Linked DNA regions of Notamacropus eugenii. The protein of the gene in region 2 binds, or shares a complex with, the protein of the main gene of each other region. Links are inferred from orthologs where the notes say so. Each region holds a gene or a part of one and is shown on either strand. Other genes may lie near its edges.

Region 1 (6,999 bases), on a different chromosome or scaffold from region 2:
GCGCTGAAAAGACAGCCTGGCCTCTGGGGGGAATGACCCAAGGAGGGGAGGAAAGGGGAAAGAGCAGAAGGGGAGGGTCACAAGGGGAACATCATCCACCCGGCCCAGAAGGAGTCCAGGAAGTGGGTCTAAGAAGGCCCTGCAATGGCTGGACCCCGGGCTCCAGGTCCCTGGAAGTAGGCGCTTTTCACTTTAGGGACCTAGGTGTCCCCATTTTCCAAAGAGTGGAATGAACTAGATGGCATCCAGGGTCTCTAAGACTCCCTTGAACTCGGACATTTTGGGGCTCAGTCACTCAACCAGGGCATCCCTGGGCTCAGTTTCCCCCTCTGGTGAAACAAGGGGTTGGACTCAGGTCTGACAGTAAGGAAGGGATAGAAATGAGATGTTTGTACTCTGTCGGAATCTTGTATAGACCAATTCATATATTTCTTTACATGAAATCGCCCCCATTGACATGGATGCCCCAGGACAGAGCCATGTTGCTCCTTCTTGGTACCCCAAGGCTTTCTTAGGGCAGTACCTGGCACATAATAAAAGTTCAGTAAGAGTTGGTTGATTGATTGCTGAGGCCAGGAGCCCGGGGACAGACAGAAAAGAGGAGGGGAGGGAAGGAAGTGAGATGGAGAATTGGGGGATGGAGGGATAAGGGCTTGGGAGCTGGCCGAGGTGCTCAGCACTCAACCCCATATCGGGAAAAGTTTCTCAGGATCAGGGCCAGCTCCAGGTGCACGGTGCCCCCTGCTGCTGTGTGGAGCCGGTATCGGTCGGCCCCGCTGTAGACTACATCACTGTGTAGCAGCTGGGGCCCACCACCCACGAAGGCCCGAGCCAACTGCTCCCGCCAGCCACCCAAGGGGCGCCATGTCACACAGTCAAGGCTATGGATGCCGGGGCTGCTGGGAATGTGGGAAAAGCCATAGCCGGACAACTGGCAGCGGCCAAAGACGTCCTGAGACCACACTTGCAAGTGGAGCCGAGGCCAGCCTGGGGAGAGGAGAGGGTCTACCTCAGTCTTCTGCTGGCCAAGTCTGCCCTTCTTCCCAAGGCTTGGGTTTCTGTCTTCCTTCCCTGATTTTGTTCAGGCTCCTGTAGCCACTCCCAGTCCCCCAAAGGCATTCTGCCATCTTAAGCTGCTCCCGCCAACCACTGATGCCCATATTCTGACCAGGAGCACCCACAAATGACAGATCTGTCAGGTCTAATAAACAACACAGACCATCTCTGAGTCTCTTTTGTCTTTCTCTTCAACCTTCCCAGTCTCTGGGGGTCCAGGTGGGATTCCCCAACCCCAGGGTCCAGCCTGAAGGACTACTAGGTGCCCTGAACTGGACAGAGCCTCATCTCCCTGTCCAATTGGAGCAGTCCCTTCCCAGCTCACTTACTCAGAGCCTGGGACCCCTGCCCTTACCCTGTAGGCCTTTGGTGGCAAAATGCAGGTCAATTGGGTGAGACCAGTAGGCCATGCTACCCAGCTGAGGGGTGTCCACTTGTGTCTGGCCTTCCCGAACACCGGACAGCAGTTTCCATGCTCCTCCTGCCAGTCAGGAAAGGAAAGGGTCACTGAGGGGAGGGAGGGAGGGACTAGAAGAAGGGATTCTGTTGGGTTAGAGGGAGGGGCCGCTATGGCACTGGAAAGAGCCCTGGGCTCAAGTCCTGGTCCCATCAGTGACCTAATTAGACTTTGGCTTCTTCTACTGTAAAAAGAGCTTCCTGGCTGAAATCTCTAGGTCCCTTTCTGCCTCTATAATTCCAAATCTAGTCTAGCCAAAAAGAAGGGCAGTAAGTTCCATGTAGGACGAAAACCTTCCTCATATCCCCACACTCCCACCCCCCACTAAAGACTCTCACAGTCCCCAAGGAAAGAAGGAAAGGAGGGGGGTCTAGGCCTCTTTGGAGTTGAAGGATCTCCCACCCACCCATTAAGTGGGCAAAGACTCTGCTGTGGAGATACAATTTGGGGTACAGGTCCTGAAGAATCAGGAGGAAGACCTCAGGACTTTCCCCTTCTGTTCCACACTCTCTCCAGCTGAGTGCACAAGGAAGGTCAAGGGTCAAGTTCCCCGGGGGTGGGGGGAAGGTATAGAGGACTCCCCAGAGATGTGAACAGATGAGGCCATGCTATCCCCACATACTTACCAGTATGGACACCCCACTTGCAGAAGAGGCTGTTCTCAGAAAAACCTGTTGCCCCAATGATCTGCCCAATGACATGGACCTCAGCCATGGCCCAGTGGAGAGGAGAGATGTCAGAAGACTACAAAGAATGAAGTTCAGCAGCGACCAAACTGCTGCCTGACCTTGGACATGTCTCTGGGCCTCAGTTTCCTCATCTGTAAAATGAGCACATCATGATTTCAATTGAGTGGATAGAACAGTGCACCCAAAGTCTTGAAGATCTGGGTTCAAATCCAGCCTCAGACACTTAGTAGCTGAGTGACCCTGGACAAGTCACAACCTCTGCCTCAGTTTCCTCAACTTCAAAATGGGGATAATAATAGCACAGACTTTCCATGGTTGTTCTGAGGTTCAATTAGATAATATCTGTAAAGCAAGCGCTTTGCAAAACTTAAAACGATATATACGTACGTATACATGTAGGCATATGCGCTATTAGCTACAGACTCGGTAACTCCGCCCATCTCCATAGCTCCTCCCCTTAGGGCTTATAACTCCGCCCCCTCCTTCCAAATAGACATGCGCAGTATCCCCGGAGCGAGGCAAAACGCTCATGACTCCAGCCTCTGCGCAGGCGCTGTTTCTCTGGCAAGCACAACTGTACAGGAACACGTACTCGCGTCTCTCGGCGCCCGACCCTCGCCTCCCCTACCCCTCATTTACCCGAGAAACCTGAAGATTTCGGGACCGTCAGCAGGGTGAACGGCTTCCGGGGCCTGCTCCGGCCGTTGCTCTGGCAACAGAAGCTCGCGGTCTTCTCTGCGCACCATTCGTGCACGCCTTCGCGTCGCTGATTGGTCGTCGGAGAGGAAATGGGACCAGTAGGTATCTCTCGCCTTCCCCTCGCACGCCGCTGATTGGGCCTCAGATAGAATGGGGCGGGGCGATAATGAAAGAGCTCCCTTTCCCTTTGTGTGTGCCCGCCCAGCACACTGCTGATTGGTCCTTTCGGAAGGCGATTCCTTCCAAGATCCCTTGCGCCCACCCCATTGTTGGGCGCTGATTGGTCTGCGGTTCAGGAGCTGGGAAGAGACTATGTCTAACAGGCTCTAGTTCATAAAACGTTCTAGCCGGGAGTGGGTGGGGGTGGAATAGAGTGACCGCGTGCCATGTTAAGTGTGGCAGGTGGGCTTAAGCATGCGGCCATGTTGAGTGTGTCCCTCACCTTCCTTCCACCTTCTTATTCCGTACAACCAAGAGGAAAACCCTGTCCTGCCACTCTCGGTAAAACCACTTTCTTCCCGCATAGCACCTGTCAGTCCTGCTGAAAACTGCCTTCTTCTCAGTGCAGCCACCCCCAGAAATCCCATCCATTTCAGGCCTCTTATAAAGTGCTTGAGGCTACAAGGTCAAAAAGAAAGCAATCCCTGAAGCAATATTTGGCTGGAGCTGGGAAGTGATCAATCGGCATACATTTATTAAGTGTCTGCCGTGTTCCAGGCAGTGAGGAAGGACAAAAATGAGGCAAGGACATTACATTCTGCTGAGGGATTACACATGTGCACAGACAGATGGTGTAGAGGGATGGATGGAAGGATGGGTGGATGGATGGATGGACGGATGGATGGATGGATGGACGGATGGTTGGATGGGTGGATGGATGGATGGATGGATGGATGGATGGATGGATGGATGGATGGATAAATTAGATATGAATGGATAGATATAAGTATATAGAGGATGAGATAGATAAATGTGGATGGATGGATGAAGGTAGATCATAGATATGGATATGGATAGATGGATAAATTAGATAGATATAAATGGAGAGGTGATATAGATAGATATGTAGGTGTGGATGGATAATTAAATTAGATGATGGATGGGTGATATCTATAGATGTGGATGGATGAATATAGGTATTTGGGTGAAATAGATAAATGTGGATGGATGGTGTAAGACAGATGAAAACACAGCACACTTGAGGGCTGCTAGCACAGGTTCACTCTTGATTTGGTCAGACAGGAAAGACACTAAAAAGGGGTTAATAATCTTACTTTATTCTAGTCTAGTTCTTTCTGAAGAAGTTGCTGATAGTAAGAGCACAAACTCCTACAGCATTCACTAATCACCCTTCTCACAGGGGCTGGTGAGAAGCGGGGGCAACTACTCCTATGTCTCTATGGGGTCAATCGGGACAGGCACAACTTGTGCGTCCCCTAAATCCCCAAGCCTCAGTGGGGGCCAGTTGAGACAAACACAGATTCCCTCCAAACCTTGATGGGGTCTGATCAAGGCACACACAGCATTCCAGCTTGTGCATTCAACACTAAGGGTTACCCATTCACTATCTAGTGACCACCTGTTTTATAGGCCAGCAGACAAAGAAGGCAGATTGCCAGTAGCAGCCTCACAAGTTTCCATCGCCCCATCCCTGTATCTCACTGTGCAGCCGCAGTGGATGTTTATGTTATTCACCATTATATAACCATGCGCAAGCGTGGTGGAGACACTTCGAACCATAACTGTGGGACTCATATCTAGTACCTGGGAACCAGAGATTGTTATGGCTATGGATCCTGGGAAACTGACTCTGAGAAATAATTACAAAAATTCACTTTACACACACTAAAATTCACCTTACATACAGATGGATAGATTAGATAGATATAAATAGAGAGAGGCAATATCAATAGAAAGATAAATAGATATGTAGGTGTGGATGGATAAATAAATCGGAGATGGATGGATGGATGGGTGATATCTATAGATGTGTGTTCGTCCTTCGGTGCCAAAGAAGACCATGCCATCAGAAAAATAATGACATGACTTGCACTTGACTTTTGTTTTTTGAGTGAGGGAGGGCTGTACAGGTCACAAGCCTCACTTCTCCTCCAGAGCCATCTGAATCTAATGACCAGATATTCATCAGGATGACTGGAGATGACCCAGGATGAGGCATTTGGGGTTAAGTGACTTGCCCAAGGTGAATGTCCAGTGTCTGAGGTGAGATTTGAACTCAGGTCCTCCTGACTCCTGTACTGGTGCTCTATCCACTGCACCACCTAGCTGCCCCTTATCTATAGATCGATGTGGATGGATGGATGAATAGATTAGATAGATATAGAGAGAGGTGATATCGTTAGAAAGATAGTTATGTAGGTGTGGATGGATAAACACATTGGAGATAGGTCAATAGCTATGTCACCTCTGTCTGAAGCAGCCTGTTTCAGCCAACACTTATTGTTTTCCTGCAGTCTTTTAATGCTAGAATGGCCTCTGGGCATTTAATTGGAAGGCAGTTTCCTGAGGTTATCTAATGTCACACCATATAGGGACTTTTTCAAAGAAGGCCATGGTGCTTGGCCTGGAGAACAAGAGGCCTAAGCAAGAGTCCAGCACAGCAGGAAGGAAGAGATGGCACCTGTCAGAGGAAGAAGGGACTTTGTAAGTAATTCAAGAAGCCTGGGGAGCTTCCTGAGCTGGCTAACAGATGGAGATTACTTGACCCTGAATCACCTGGGTCTGAAATGGGATGAAGGTGATTGGCTTCTCCCTTCCCTTCATCTTAAAACCACTTCCCCTGACGCAAGAGAAGGGTGGGGGAATTTCACACTAGCTGCCCCATAATTCTCATTCTGTATCTTTCACTTTTCGGTTTAGATTATGCAAAGTCCTTTCACCTGTACAAGAGTTGAATAATCCCTGGAAGTTGCTGCTGCCCATGGATGCTGGGGCTAGAGCCATCTCGTAGCATGTGCATTGGCATAGAAACTCTCATAGTTTTCGGCTAGACAGACACCCCTCAAGGGATGTGGAAGATGGACACTGACAAGGCTGTCTTGTCCCTCCATGTGCCCAATGCTGAAAAGAATCCAGCTGAGCAGAGCCGGAGACAGCTGGGGCTTGAGCTTGCTCAGTTCCCCGTAGGCTCATGTCCACTGCTGATGTCAGTCCACCCATGCACAATTACTCTAACTCTCAGCTCAGGCTCGCAGGTTCCACCTGCTGGCTGGCTCAGATATAACATCCAGAGTCTCCTGTGTTAGTGCCAGGATGGAAGAGCCAGATGCCCCAATGGTAGATACATGCTCTTTACATATAAAAAGGAAATAACATATGAGATGGGCAGAGGGATGGTGATAAATGCTGGGGAAAATTTTGTTGACCTAAAAAAACCCAAAATTTAAAAAAAAACTTTGAAGAGGGAAAGGCCCCTGGGCTGTGCCTGCATACAAGTTGGGGAGTCAGGCAGGCAGAGGGGAGGCAGGGATGCATTCCAAGCACAAGAGACACCGTGAGAAGATGAAAGAGCACCTCCCATGCTGAGGAATGAGCCAGTTTGACTAGAAAGTAGAATGAAAAAGAGTAAGGGTCAGTAAGTGTGGAAAAGTAGACTGGAGACAGTTTATAAATGCTAGGCTGGGAGAGAACGCACAGGGGCTGTTATGTAGCAGAGAGAATAGAGGTGTTCTCTTTGGTCTGGAGAAGTTGAGGAAACTGAGGCAGGTAGACATTAAGGTACTTGCTCAGGATCACACAGTCATTGAGTATCTGAGCACAGATTTTAACTCAGGTCCCCTTGCCTCTTGGCTCAGCACTCAATCCACTGAGCTACCTCAGCTCAAGGCCCAGAGTAATAGATGAGGTTGCAAAAAGGCAAAGTAAGTTGAGGCTTGTTTTCAGGACAAACTTCCTACTGATTAGAATTCTCCAGACATGAAATATGCCTCCTTGAGAGGCGATAGATACTGGATGACCAATGGTCAAGTACGTTAGAGTGGAAGAGTGGAGGAGTTCATCATCATTCCATGTCACACTCATGATGGCATGCTTGCCTGGGTTCTGGATAATGGGCAATGCTCTCTCACTTTCCCAGGT
Region 2 (7,764 bases):
CCAATTCTTCTTGGCGAGGCAAATCATCTGGGTTAACTCTTCGTATCGTTTTCCAGTCCAAAGGCATCTTGACTTCTTTCACTGTGTCTCTGGACCTGCAACAACATATATTCATCAGCACGTCCATAGTAAACAGAACAACTGATATACAACAGGGTTCCCTAAGAATCCCCCCTGACGGGGTGAAGTTCCACATTATGTTGTTAACCTTACACACAAACAAAAGAAAACAAGAATTGGGCAAAATTCACTAAAACAAAATGAAAAGATCAGCTACAGTTAGTTAGATGCAATCAGGCACAGTGCAAAGAATGCTGGATTTCAAGTTAGAGGATCTGGATTCAAATCCTGACTTTGCCATTGTTGCCTGTGTTACCTCTAGTAAGTCATCTAACCTACCGGGCTTCAATTTCTCATCTTTAAAATAAATAAGTTGGACTAAGTGACTGATCAGATCTTTTCTGACTCTAAATTTATAACCCTCTTTTGTAGGTCTGTACTTAACATCACAGCGATTTGACTCCTAAGTTCCAAAAGGGAAAATCTATGAGTAATGAGAATTATTGGCAAAGAGACAAACTTGATGTTAAGGAAAAACTGTCCAATAATGGGAATTACTATCACAGCAAAAAACAATAATAATAAGGCCAGACTTAGTGATCAATGTAGATTATACAAGAAAATGGTATAGGGAAACACAGCAGAGGCTGTAAAAAGTTTAGCACCCACAGAATACCCAGCAACATGCAACCAGCTGGCTAAAATTATGCATCAGAAATGCACTGTCTTTCATGGATTAACAGACAACAAATCTCCATGTTACATAGACCTCCAAATACCCTAGACAACTCCACAGACCAAAACAGGAATGAACAGTCATCACTGACCATACTGTCCTCTATATAACATCCCAAATATAACACTTATTCATAAAAATGTTTTTAATAGATGGTATCATCACAAATACTCATAATCTCTAAACTACCTGGAACAAAAAACTTTCAAAATATAGAGACCTGGTTTCATCACAATCAAGCGGAAATGGGACTAGGTACATACCATTCCAGCTGTCTTGTTCTCTACTGTTTTTGTACAAATGAAGGTTTTAGGAGGCCTACAGAGCATGTATGTGTCTGTTCGTCCTTTGTTGCCAAAGCAGACCATGCTATCAGAGAAATGATGACATGACTTGCACTTGACTTTGTTTTGAGTGAGGGAGGGCTGTGCAGGTTACCAGCCTCACTTCTCCTCCAGAGCCATCTGAATCCAGTGACCAGATATTCATCAGAATGACTGGAGATGACCCAGGATGAGGCAATTGGGGTTAAGCAACTTGCCCAAGGTCACACAGCTAGTGAATGTATCAAGTGTCTGAGGCAATATTTGAACTCAGTCCTCCTGACTCTTGCACTGGTGCTCTATCCACTGCACCACCTACCTGCCCCGACCTAGAGAGCACTGGGTTGCTAGAAGGACAGAGCACCAAATCTGGAGTCAGGTTGACCTGGGTTCAAGTCTAGCCTCAGACACTTACTAGCTGTGTGACCCTGGGCAAGTCACTTAACCCTGTTTGCCTCAGTTTCCTCATCTGTAAAATGAGCTGAAGAAAGAAACGACAAGCTACTCCAGTATCTGCGCACACAACTGGGGTCATGTGGACAAAACAACAACCTACTATAAAGATGAAAATGGTAATAATGACAATATCAACTCATATGCTTATAGCACTTTAAGGTTGGCAACATGTTTTTACATGTGATCTCACTTGTCCCTCACAACAACCTTGTGAGGTAAGAGTTATTAACAAACCTATTTTACAGATGAAAAAAACGGAGGCTCAGAGCAATATCTTGCAGGATTCGAACCCAAGCCTTTCTAACTTCACCACTCTTTGCATTCCCACCTGTTGCCTGCCTCCAAAAGTTGCCCTAAGGGGCCGTTCCCTTCATTGGAGATCTGTCACAGGTTGGATGACCCCCTGTAAGAAAAGACGTTAAGAGGTATCCTTACCAAATCAAGTCCATAAGTATTCATTAGGTGCCAGGGCACGCTGCTAAAATTTGAGCAAACAAAGCAAAAACAGACCACACCCTCAAGTAGCTCACTCAAGAAGACCTCAAGGCGTCTAATGATGGGGGGGGGGGGGGGGGGGGGGGGGGGGGGTTTAAAGGGAAAGCAGAAGAAAGTAACTATGTTACACACCGGCTACACGAAGGATACATTGTAGCTAACCACGGAGGGGAGGGCACCTCCCCAACCACTTAATGGGGCTGGAAAGGCTTGTAGAAGGTAAGATTTTGGTTGAGAGCACGGAAGAAGCCAGGGGGCAGAGGTGAGGCTGGTGAGAGGTCTGGTCCCCGGAAGAAAGCTCGTGAAAATACACTGGGTCCGATTCTTACCAGTTCTGATGGGTGTGGAAGGGGGTAGGGGTCACTCGCTAAATTAAGAGGTAGCTCCCACAATCCAGGTTATGCATCACTCTGCTCCTGGCAGCAGGAAAAGAAATTACGGATTTAGAGCTAAAAGGAGTCTTCAGAGATGCCCCAACTGCTTTACAGAGGGGGAAACTGAGGCCTAGCGATTCGGGGAGATGCCTGCGGACCTCCCAACCCTCCAGGCTGACTCCTAATCCAGGACTCGGGAAGCAACATCCACCCCTGGCGCACGAGGTGTAAGATCTGGGCAGGGGGCACCTGGAGGAGAGAAGAGAGAGAGAGTCGGGAGGGCTCCCTGGCGCACTGCACTGACCGGTGACAGGAGGTGGCGGAAGGAACAGTCCCGCAGGGCACCCGCCCTCCTGGAGGAGGCTCTGTCCTCTCTCAGCCCGGGCCAGCTCGCCCGCGCCGCGCCTACACAGCGGGTCTACTCGGGAGAGCGGCGGCAGCGGCTGCTAGGCGACCCGAAGGTTTCCCTCCCCCTCGCCCCAGTCTCGTAGATATGTAGAGCGCCACCACCGATCCAGCCCGAAGTCCCGGATGCCGAACTGCTGAACTAGCCTACATTTCACGACCGCTAGGCGATGCTTTACGGCCCCAGCCCTAAGCGAGGTCTCAACGCCACAGGTTGGGATCGGAGATGAACCGAGAACTCCGATTCCCAGAGTGCACCGGGGAATGCGCTGCGCATGACGGGAGATGTAGTTCTGGGCGAGCGCACGGAGGTGTGCAGTTCCCGGCGTGCAGTGCGGCAAGTCTTTGGAGTCTGAGGAGTGTGCGGAACGTCCCTGGCGGGTCTCCGGCGGCGCTCGCTCGCTCTCAGAGGGGCGAGGAGGAGGGTGCAGCGGGACCGGCGTCCAGAGAGGGCTTTTCGCGTCTCCTCAGGCCCTCCGCGGGAGACGGGTAAGGAGCGGCGGGCGCGGGGCCGGGCGGTCGCCCTTTCTCCCTACACAGCCGCGGCCTCCTCCTCTTTTCCTTCATTCTCCCGAGAGCGGGGGGAACATGGGGGAGTAGCGCCCCCCTAACCCAGTCTTCCCCAGCCCCACGCCCTTTTTGACTCTCCTCTAGACTGAGCGAGAAAAGTTTCTTCTGCCTCTACTAACTGGGCGAGGAAATGGGGCCACCTGGTGGAGGGGGAGGGGAGAAGAAACCTCACCCCCGCCCCCTCCCGCACCTCAGTCCCTCCCTTCCTTACTTCTCGCATCCCTGGCGGCTGCCCCCCCACCCCCATCCCTGCCCCCAGGAGCGGACTCTGTACTTTGGGAGATTGTGGATTAATTAGAGTCTGGAAGACCTGAGTTCGAGCCTCCGTGCCCCTGGGCAAGGCAGGTCCGAGAAGATAAATTAAGCCAGACACAAATTATATTATAGCATTTATAAGGTGCTTACTGTGCAGCAGTCACTGTGCCGATCTAAGTCCTGGGCATACACAAATAATAAACAGCCAACGTTTTTATGGCGACTGCCAAGTTCTGGGGATAAAATAACAGCAGCTAGCATTTCCATAGTGCCTACCATGTGCCATATGCTTTACCAGTATGATCTCATTTGATTCTCACAACTCTGGGAGATAGGTGGTATTATCCCCATTTTACAAGTGGGAAAATTCAGTCAAACCCTAGGGTCTTACAGCTTGTAAGTCAGAGGTTGGATTTGAACTCAGGTTTTCGGGAACTGTGAAGATGGACTAGTCACTGTTAAGTGCTAGAGATACAGATAGAAGGAAACAATGTAGTACTTGCCCTCAAACACTTTATATTCTGAAGGAAGAATTTAAAAAAAAAACATAAAAGGGTTTAGGAAGTATGTACATTGCTGCATAATTTGAAAATGGCCTGGAAGAGGCACCTGGAAAGCTGAAAGTCCCAGGGACAGAGTTTAAACTCTGGTAGGAAGGCAGTGAGGCAAAATAAGATAATTTGGGGAGGGAGAATTGGAGAGGGATATTAGCCAGCTACCTTTAGGCAATGGCACTTGTGCTGAACTGTGAAGGAAGCCAAGAGTTCTGGTGAGGACCTACATGCCTGACTTGAGGAGACAACCCTTGCAAAGGCTTGGAGACAGGAAATGGAATTTCTAATACAATAAACAGCAAGCTGGACAGTTTGAGAGGCATGTAGATAATGTGAAGGAGAGAAACGAGCAGTAAGTTTAACACATTGTGAAGGTTTTTAAAAATGAGAATGAGGTTTGGTTTTTGTTTTGTCAATCCAGGCAAAAGGGAGCCATTGGAGCTCCTTGAGCAAGAGAGAATATGGATACACCTGTGCTTTAACAGCTTTGGAGAAGGGAGAGGACTGAACAAGGCTATTGCAATAGTTCAGTCAGTTGGCAGAGAAGTGATGAGAGCCTCAATTAGGCTGTTAACCATGGGAATATAAAAGAAGGGAATTAAAGATACATTGTGAATGGATCAAAGATACATTGTGGCTGTAGCATTAATAAGAGTTGACAGCTGATTGGATGTGTTAGAGAAAGAAGAGCTGAGAACAACTCCAGGGTTATAGAAATGGGCAAGTTAGAAAAAGAGAACAGTGATGGGGGAAGCTAATGAGGGTTGTTTTGGACATGATGAGTTTAAGGTGCCTGTAAAGCACCCACTGGTTATGAGATAGTAGGACTGTTTATATTTGTTTGTAAAAGATCAAATCTGTAAGTCATCAGTGTAGAGGTGATAATTGGAAGCCATTGCGATCATCAAGAGTACAGCAAAAGAAGACAAGAGGGCCCTGAGATATATGCAGGTATAGAAAGTAGGAGAAGAATAATGATCCTGCTGGAGCCTGAAAACCAGAGGAAGAAGATGGCTGTCAGGAGTGTCAGGGAGAGGTCAAAGAGAATGAGGACTGAGAAAAGGAGAGAGGAGTGACTGAGGTAAGAAAGTGTAGGCAATGAATATGGGCAGCCTTTTCTAAGAGTCTTGATGTGAAAGGAGAGCAGAATAGTAAGGCACCTAGGAAGGATGTTGTCAAGTAAAAAAGTGTAAGGATGAGGGAGGTGGGGGCCTATTCATAAGAAATAGGAAAGGAGCCGGTGAATAAGGATTAGTAAATCAAGAAGTATGGGGATGAAGGAAGGATTGAGCTCCAATCAAAATAGCATATGGTGTGTGTAGTGACTATCAGATATGGAACACAGCAGTCTCCAACAAACTGCACTTGAGGTCCACACAGAGAGAAGGCACTGTCATTGTGAGCAGACTATACTATATAACAAATAAGGAGTTTTGAAGAATAACGTAAAGGACAGGTTTCATGAAAAGGGCAAGGGATAACAGTTTGACTAAAGGAAGCAAGGAAGGCCTCTAGCATAAGAATCCATGGATGGGCAAGAGGGACAGGCATGAATTTGCTTCTTTGAAGGGAATGTCCAAAGTGATGACATCATGGATCATTTGAATTTGAGTAAGTGCAGAAAAGAGGGAGGGATAAGTTGTGAAAAGTTTTGGCAGGGAAAGGCTTTCCCAGGAAAGAGTGTCTAGTGTATAATCTATCTTTATACTTGCTTTTTGGCAGTGCTATCTTGAATTTTGTGGCTGTCATTGTCAATGTCAAAAGAAATTCCCTTTGAAAATCATGCTATATTCTTACCAAACTGTAATGAATTTTGTTTTTAATTTATCTAAAACATCTGTGACCAAAAATATTAAATCATTGATGCCATCACTATATAATTTAAAGGAGCATAAGATGCCAAAAGACTAGGAAAAGTAATTGAGAGACTTTTTAATAAAACTTATCCCACTTGAGCTTCATAATCCTGTGCAGTGGGTACTACAGATTATCCATATTTTACCGATAAGGAAGCTGAGATTCAGAGAGGTTAAATGACTTGTCTATGCTATTAAGAATTAGAAGCAGAATTTCAGTCCAGATCAAAATCTTCTGTGTAAGTTTGGCACTCTGTCTGCTAACTTAGATTCCTTCTATATGCCAGAAACTAGGACTGATTATTTTAAACTGATTTTAAAAGACACATAAACATTCATCAGTGCTTTACTTAGTATATAGTACCATCAAATTGTATGTCAGCATAATTATTAGTCAGGTATTTAAATATTATTTATATTGACAATGTTTTCAGTCCTTGATTTTACAGGGGGAATGAAAACCTTGCTTAGAAATTTTGTATTTAAAGCATGGACCTAACTTGGAATTATGAGACCTGAACGCAAGTTCTAATTCAGTATGTTATTTAATCTTGGAAAAATTTAATAAAACTAGCCCTGAACCATTGTCTACATCATTGCCTTCATTTATTTGAGTTAAAGTGAGAGCTTTTGATGTGATCCTTTTAAAAGAAACACTTATCTTAGAGCCTGGTTTCATTTTCTTTCTTTTTTAGGAATTCTTTATCCTATTAAAATATTTAAACAAGAAGGACTTTTCTTTACACCTCTATATTTGTTATCCCCAAGAAACTGCTTAGATTTTTTTAGGAGCTACCCTTGTTCCCTTCTGTCTCCATGTCATTAAAATTGGCACTAGCCCACATTCCCTTGACTAAAATAAATTACAGCCACTTCTAAAATAAATGTAATATACATTGCTAATATCTCTTTAATATCTCTCACAGAGAAATGAGTTTGCTCCATACAGGCCTGTACTTGAAATGATCCTTTTAAATAAATGTAAATTTAGGAGAGAAAACCAGGGCCCTTTGGAAATTGTTTCATGGTAGATACTTTGAAAGATATTGTGTGTACTGAAGATGATTCTCTACATTGATTTATGTAAACTTATTAAGACCAACTACAATGTATTATTGTTTGTATATGAAGATAGTTCTCTACATTTTGTAGTTTTTAAGTCCATGTCTATATTGCCTGATAGCTGTTAATGATATCAAGCTGTGGATTTCAAAATTTACATTATAAAAGATTCAAACTAATCATGAGAGGCTTGATTTTTTAATTTATGTTCCTGCTAACAGGGAATATATTGACAAATTCATAGGAATCAGAGCTAGGAGTAGGGGTTTAATTATCTTAGTCTTTCCTTTTTATTTTACAGTTGAGGAAACTGAGGGGCAGATATGTTATAGGGGAGGTGACTTGCCCAAGAAGAAAAGCAAGACTCACATTTTTATTTCAAAATGAGTATTCTTTTCATTGTACCACCCTCCTTTATTTCTTTGACAAACAGATTGTCTCCTTAGTCACATCCTTTCCTCCTGATTTCCGGAATCTCTCGCCTCCTCTTTGTAGCCAGACTTCTGTCCTTGGAGCATTCCAGACTAAAATCTTCCAGCTTTATCTCAGGTTAGTTGTTTAGTGCCTCCCAACCCAGGGTTGGGAAATTAATCAGATCTACTTCTGAGTTAAGTGTGG
Region 3 (6,934 bases), on a different chromosome or scaffold from region 2:
GTTTATCTTACTCAACAGGAAAGTAGGAGAAAAAAAGACTATGGGAAGGGGTAGGGGGATGACAAAAGGGTAGGCAGATGAAAGAAGGCAGTTATCAGAAGCAAAACAGACTTTAGAGGACGGATAGGGTAAAGAGAAGAATAAACAGAAAATAGGATGAAGGGAAATACACAGTAATTATAACTGTGAATATGAATGGAATGAACTCATTTATAAAATGGAAGCAGATAGCAGAAGGATTAGAAACCAGAATACAATAATATGTTACTTATATGTTGCTTGAAACAGGGAAATACACATACACACGCACACACAGATAAAATAAGGGGCTGGAGCATAATCTATTTGCTTCAGCTGACCATGCTTGACTTCTCTATAACTTTTAACAGTTAATCACCCTCTTCTCCTGGGTACTCTTTTCTCTCTACATATTGGTCTATTCTGGTACTTCCTATCTGTCTGCATATGTCTTTTCTAAAATAACTGCAGACAAAATAAAATATGTGGGAGGCTACCTGCCGGGATAAACCCAGGGACTATATGAACAAAATTACAAAACACTTCACACAAATAAAGGAAGATCTTAATGGTGGGAGAAATATTAACTGCTCATGGACAGGTAGAGCCAATATAATAAAAATAATGATTCTATCACAAGTAATTTATTCGGTGCCATAGCAATCAAATTATCAAAAAAAATTATTTGATAAAATTAGAAAAAATAATAACATAATCCACATGGAAGAACAAGTCAAGAATGTCAAGGGAATGAATGAAAAAAAATGTGAAGAAAGGCAACCTAGCAGTTCCACATTTCAAACTATATTACAAAGCAGTAATTATCAAAACAATCTGGTACTGGCTAAGGAATAGAATGGTAGGTCAGTGGAATAGACCATGGCAAACTAGCGTTTAATAAAGGCAAAGATCCAGGCTTTTGAAGTAAGAACTCAATATTTGACAAAAATTGCTAGGAAAACTGGAAAGCAGCTTGGAGGAAATAAGGCATAGGCCAACATCACACAACATCTACCAAGATAAAGTCAAAAATAGATAAATGATTTAGACATAAAGGGTAATATAAGTAAATCAGAGAGCATGAAAAAAACGTACCTATCAGATATATGGCTAAAGGAAGACTTCATGACCAAACAACACATACAGAGGATCACAGGAAATAAACTGAGTAATTTGATTACATTAAATTAAAAACTTTTGTACAAACAAAACTAATGCAGCCAAAATTAGAAGGAAAAAAGAAAACTCTGTGTGTGTGTGTGCAGATTTTACAACAAAATTTCTCTGATATAAACCTCATTTCTCAAATATATAGAGAACTGAACCAAACTTACAAAAATAAGAGCCATTCCCCAGTTGATAAATGGTCAAAGGATATGAACAGGTAGTTTTCAGAAGAAGAAATCAAAGCTATAAACAGTCACATAAAAAATGTTCTAAATCACCAGAAATGCAAATTAAAACAACTCTGAAGCACAACCTCTCAGCTATCAGGCTGTATGTATAAGATAACATAAAAGGAAAATAACAAATGCAGAAGGGGATATGGATAAATTGAGACACTAATGCACTGCTGGTGGAGTTGTTAACTGGTTCAGCCTTTTTGCAGAACAATTTGGAACTACACTCAAAGGGGTATAAAACTGCATACCAGCAACACCACTGTTGTTGTAGTTCAGCCATTCAATCATGTCTGACTCTAAGTGACCCCATGGACTTTTATCTATGGGGTGTTCTCCAGTGTTACCTCATTTGATAGATAAAGAACTGAAGTAAATAGAGGTTAAGTGACTTGCCCAGGATCACACAGCTAGTAAGTGTCTGAGGTCACATGTGAATTCAGATCTTCAAGCAAAGTGAAGTCAGAACATTGTATCCAGGAACAGTTATATTGTAACAATGAGCAACTATGAATTACTTAGTTGCTCAGATCAATACAATGATTCACGACAAAATGCCAGAGTACAGATGATCTCCAAAAGCAGACTGCAGCATATTTTTTTACTTTATTTGTCTTGGATTTCTAACTCCATCAAAAGCAAAACCAAACCAAACCTGTGTAACAAAGTGTGCACACACAAAAAGGAAAAAACTCGTGTAACAAAATATGCAAAAAAGGGAAAGAAAAACAAAACGTGTGCGACAAAATACTCCCCCCTCCCCCCCACCCCCGAAGCCAACACCACGACGAAATGTTGCCAATATCTGGAAATGTTCTGCTAGTACAGGCTGGATAATTTAGGTGGGCTCTGGGATCCCTCCCTCCGGAATCAGAAAACCCGTGAGATTCTGGTGGTCAAGAGTCCGAAATACTAATCAACCGTGAGTTCTCGAAGTCAATTCTCGCCCCCTGGCGCCTCGCGTGGGCACAGACACGTGCAGCAGCGCGGTGGTAGCCACCACGGGCCTGGGCAAAGGCGCACGCACCCCCGGGGACGCGCAGCGCGGGCGGTGGGGGTGGGCAGGCGAGGGGCACGTCGGCAGCAGCAGCCACGTACCGCCAGCGCGAGGCTAAGGTACACACTCAAGTACGCAAGCGCGCACGCGCACACCCACGCAGGAGCGGCCCGGACAAACCCAAGTTAGCCATGGTCGCCGCAGGCCGGAAAAGTCAGCGGCTGACAGCCCGGAGAGCAGCCGACTCACCAGGAGGGGACGCGCAGCCCGGGGAAGCGGCTGGCCTCCGTCCTTTTCCCTAAATCGACGCCGGCTGACCGACCTAACCAACGGAAGGGAGAAGCGCTAGCGCCTAGCTCTGCCCGGCGGGAAGGAGAAGGCCACCGGCTCCCTGCTGAAACCGGCGGCTAGGGCTGGGAAGGGGGTGGAGACGAAAGGGATTAGAGGTGGGACGGGGAGGGAGAGGGAGGAGGACCGGAGTCTAGAGCTGAGCGGAGCGAGGCGTTTACGTCAGTTACCGCGGCGCTCCGTTGCCGATAGCAACCGAAGAGGTAGGAGGGGGCCCTCCCCTCCTGTTTCCTCCAGAGCTCCAGCCAATAGCAACGGCGCTGGCTGGGGCGCCTCAGAGAGCCCGGATTGGTCTGCCGGCCTGCGTGCCCCTCCCCTTAAGTGGAAGAGGGGCGGAGCCTACTCAGAATATTTAGGGACTGCCCAAATTCATCTCTAATACTACCCTTTTATCAGTCCTTGACCCGTAGGGCAGTCAGATGAAACTCTTCTCAGAGTCCTGGTTTTGAATGCATAAAATAAAAGGCATACATTAGAATGTAGGAAAGTTATCAAAATAGACGAGTAAAATATCCCTGCTTTAACCTTAGAAAGTTCTTCCTTTCATCAGGCTTAGCCCCGTGTCCTTTTCAGCTGTTATTAATTGATTTGGAAAGATCATTCACTTCTTCAAGTATTTTTTTAAGGACTTAGTACATGTAAGGGGCTGCCCTCAAGGAGCTTTCTTACAATAGGGTAAAATAAAACGTAGCTCTATAAATCAATATAAAATATATAGGACATAATTTTTTGGTGGGAGAATAATAACTGGCCAACAGGGAATCTAGAAGGGCCTCTCCTATGAGGCAGCACTAAAACTAAGCTGGAGAAAATTAAGATTTCTAAGAGACCTAGGTGAAGTTGTTGTGTATTCACAGTTCAAAGGCAAAAAAGGGAATATTGAATATGTGGAACAACCATTGAACCAACATACTCTATCGATAACCTCATCACCTGCTGTGGATTTCACTATGACCTCTATGCTGATGACTCCTAAATGTGCATATTTAGCCTCAGTCTCCCCTGTGCTTCAATCCTGCATCATTAAATTGTCTAGCGAATATTTCAAAGTGGACATCCTGAAAAATTCTTAAACTCTATAGGTCTAAAACTGAATTCATTTTCCCCTCCAAACCAGGAATTATTCATTTTTTTGTTAATTATTTCAATATAATTAGTTTTCTTTGTAATCCTATGTATTTTATCCTTTCAAAAAAATGTTGTGAGAAGTCAACAAGCATGTATTAAGCACTTGCTGTGTTCCTGGCACTATGCCATACAATGGGGTACAAAAAAAGACAGGAGTTGAAGGTGATACCTAAGTTGAGAGCCTAGGTGAACAGGAAGATTTATAGTAATAGGAAAGATCAGGAAGGGGAAAGTTTGGAGAGGGAAAGATAATAACAAAAACTTGGGGGATACACAAGAGTTAGTACACATGACCAGAATGAAAAAAAAAGTAAAAGAGACTGAGAAGAAGCAGCTAGGCAAGTAAAAAGTGAAGGGGTATATAAGCTTCACTAAACTTCTAAAGAGAACTGAAACAAAAAAGGTAAAGAACCCTTTCCCTAAACCCTCCCCTCTTCCAAACTTACCAATTACTGTTGAAGGCACCATAATTCTTCCAATGTGTTAGGTTCATAATCTTAGCATTATCTCACCCTGGCTCATACCACATGTAATAAGGTGCCAAATTTTGTTCTTTCTACCTTAACACCTCTGACATTCAAGCCCTTCTCTCCACTCACACAGTTGCCAACTTTCTCCAAGCTCTCATCTCACCTAAATGATTCCAACAGCCTCCTAACTGATGCTAAAATATTGTTCTTTAAGCACAGATTTCACCATATGATTCCCCTGCTCAGCCAGTTCCAATGACTTCCTATTGCCTCTAAGATGACCTTTTATTTAGCTTTTCTCACTCCATATAACTGGGCCTCAACCTCTTTGCAGCCTCAATGGACATTACTTCCCCTACCATAACTGCGACACAATCAAACTGGCTTTCTCTTTGCTCCCCACTCCCATCTCCCATCTTCCTAGAATGCATTCTGTCCTTGCTTGTTTACTCACTCATGCCTGACTCTTCATGACCACATGGACCATAGCAAGCTAATACTGTTCAAGAGGTCTTCTTGGCAATGATTCTGGAGTGGTTTGCCATTTCTTTCTCCAGTGATTCCCTCCTAACCAACACCCATTTAAGATGCAGCTCAGGTACTATCTTCTATATAAATACTTTCCTGGTCTCAACTCCTAGTGCTTTTCCTCCCAAACTACCTTGTATTTAATTACTTTGTATTGTATCTTATTGTATTTGTATTTATTTAATCTTTATACTGTGTATTTATTTTATATGTACTTTTTGTCTCTTCATTAGAATGTAAGATCATTGCAACCAGGAAATGCTTTATCTTTTGTACTTATGTACAGCTTGTAGCACAGTTCCTAGAAATACTAGGCACTTAAATTATTTGTTTGTTGACTAATTGCCTGGTAAGTCTGAAGAGAATGCTAAAGTGGGGACAGGGAGGGGCATAATGAAAAGATAGAACCAGATTATGGTTACTAGTAAAGTCCAGTCAGGGGGGAATAAACAACTATGTAGCATAGCACAAGAAAGCTTCCAGCATGTAGATCAAGGCTGAACTGGGGAAAACCTAGAGACTTTGATTGTGTAGGCTGGAAACTATGCATGGGGTCCAGTCAAAAATTCCAGGTTCATGAATGAAGTCCACAGAAACATGTCATCAGTTGAGGAGGGGAGAGCTAGGGAAAAATTTAGCCTGCAGATATATACCCCTAGGGGAGAGTTACAAACACTTGGATTCTATAGGTGTGTAGGTGTGATCCCAGAACTGGGTCAGGAGTCTGCAAAGCTCAGATCTAGAAGGCAATAGTTAGACCTGGCCAGAGCCTGAAGAAAAAGCTCTGAAAGTCAGCAATTTACTAGCCTGAGCCACCCAAGGTCCTTGAAGAACATGCAGCTCAGTATTTGGAGGAAGCATTAGAAAGACCCTAGGTGATACTGATCTGGGCCAAACAAAGCACCATTATTTCTTCACAGCTGACCTGGCACATTCAGAAGTTAGGGCTGAGTTCAGAAAGTAAGGCAGAAAAAATTAATATCAATAAAGAAATACTGTTAAGGTGCCAGATCTTTTATGTCAGCTTTTCCCCAGATTCTTTCCCTCCCTTCAGAGACATTTTTCTGAAGAAAATTCTATTACCATGTATCTCCTCTGTCAAAACTGGAAGCCACTACAAGTACCTCTCTTCAAGCAAGTGCTCAACAGTGATGCCCCTCTATAAGACACAAAGTAATTCTCCATCAATGAGGAGAGCTCTTATGCAAATAAGATTGAACCACTGGTTACCTCTAATTTTATGCCAATAAAACTTGATAATTAAAATGAAATAGATTACTATCTACAAATTTATAAAATATCTAGATTTATAGAAGAAGAAATAGAGGATTTAGATAATCCTGATTCGAAAAAATAAATTGAATGAGCTATAAATTAGCTTCCTAAAGAAAAAAAATTTATAAATCACAGCCATTATAAAAAAACACTCTAAATCACTAATAATCAGAGAAATGCAAATTAAAACAACTCTGATTTCCCACCTCACATTCAAGAGATTGGTAAAAATGGGGGGAAGGAAAGCAAAATGATGATGATAGGGAGACTCTGAGAAAGACAAGCATACTAATGCATAGTTGGTAAAACTACAGATCTGTCCAGCATTCCACAAAGTGATTGTAACTATATTCCAAAAGTCACTAAACTAATTGTGCATGCTATTTGACTCACTATTTGATTCTGCTTTTAGATCCCAAAGTGATACCCCCAAGGAGATCAAAGAAAGAGGGAAAAGATCCACACACAGAGAAGTATTTTGTAGTAATTCTTTTAGTTTTAGCAACAATACTGTAACTAAAAAGATGCCAAATCCCTTGGAGATTGGCTGAACAAATTATGTTATATGAATTTAATGGGATACATAGAACCATAAGAAATTACAAAAGGAAAGATACTATATGCACTAAAGCAGACTGAAATGAGCATAACCAAGATAAATTCTGTGGTAACAATATGAAGAAAAAAAATTCAAAAGACTTGGTGTTCTTAATTCAATGATCTTACACAATTTGAGAGTACCAAAGTAAGCTCACTTCCTGACAGAGGTA

What was found.
Region 1: CEP290 (region 2) and B9D2 share a complex: the UniProt entries of both Homo sapiens proteins name them as parts of the tectonic-like complex. The link is inferred for Notamacropus eugenii from reciprocal best matches to the Homo sapiens genes CEP290 and B9D2.
Region 3: CEP290 (region 2) and AHI1 share a complex: the UniProt entries of both Homo sapiens proteins name them as parts of the tectonic-like complex. The link is inferred for Notamacropus eugenii from reciprocal best matches to the Homo sapiens genes CEP290 and AHI1.

What each region holds. Positions count from the first base shown.
Region 1 is NC_092876.1:29,864,288-29,871,286, reverse strand, and holds B9D2 (B9 domain-containing protein 2), read right to left. Parts: upstream 3,017-6,999; 5' UTR 2,842-3,016; intron 2,334-2,841; 5' UTR 2,228-2,333; coding exon 2,140-2,227; intron 1,538-2,139; coding exon 1,412-1,537; intron 988-1,411; coding exon 674-987; 3' UTR 406-673; downstream 1-405. UniProt on the Homo sapiens protein: Component of the tectonic-like complex, a complex localized at the transition zone of primary cilia and acting as a barrier that prevents diffusion of transmembrane proteins between the cilia and plasma membranes.
Region 2 is NC_092874.1:270,072,971-270,080,734, forward strand, and holds the start of CEP290 (centrosomal protein of 290 kDa), read right to left. Parts: upstream 3,014-7,764; 5' UTR 2,749-3,013; intron 2,487-2,748; exon of another isoform or gene 2,400-2,486; intron 1,979-2,399; exon of another isoform or gene 1,904-1,978; intron 96-1,903; 5' UTR 68-95; coding exon 1-67. UniProt on the Homo sapiens protein: Involved in early and late steps in cilia formation. Its association with CCP110 is required for inhibition of primary cilia formation by CCP110.
Region 3 is NC_092873.1:221,568,081-221,575,014, forward strand, and holds the start of AHI1 (jouberin), read right to left. Parts: upstream 3,017-6,934; 5' UTR 2,665-3,016; intron 1-2,664. UniProt on the Homo sapiens protein: Involved in vesicle trafficking and required for ciliogenesis, formation of primary non-motile cilium, and recruitment of RAB8A to the basal body of primary cilium.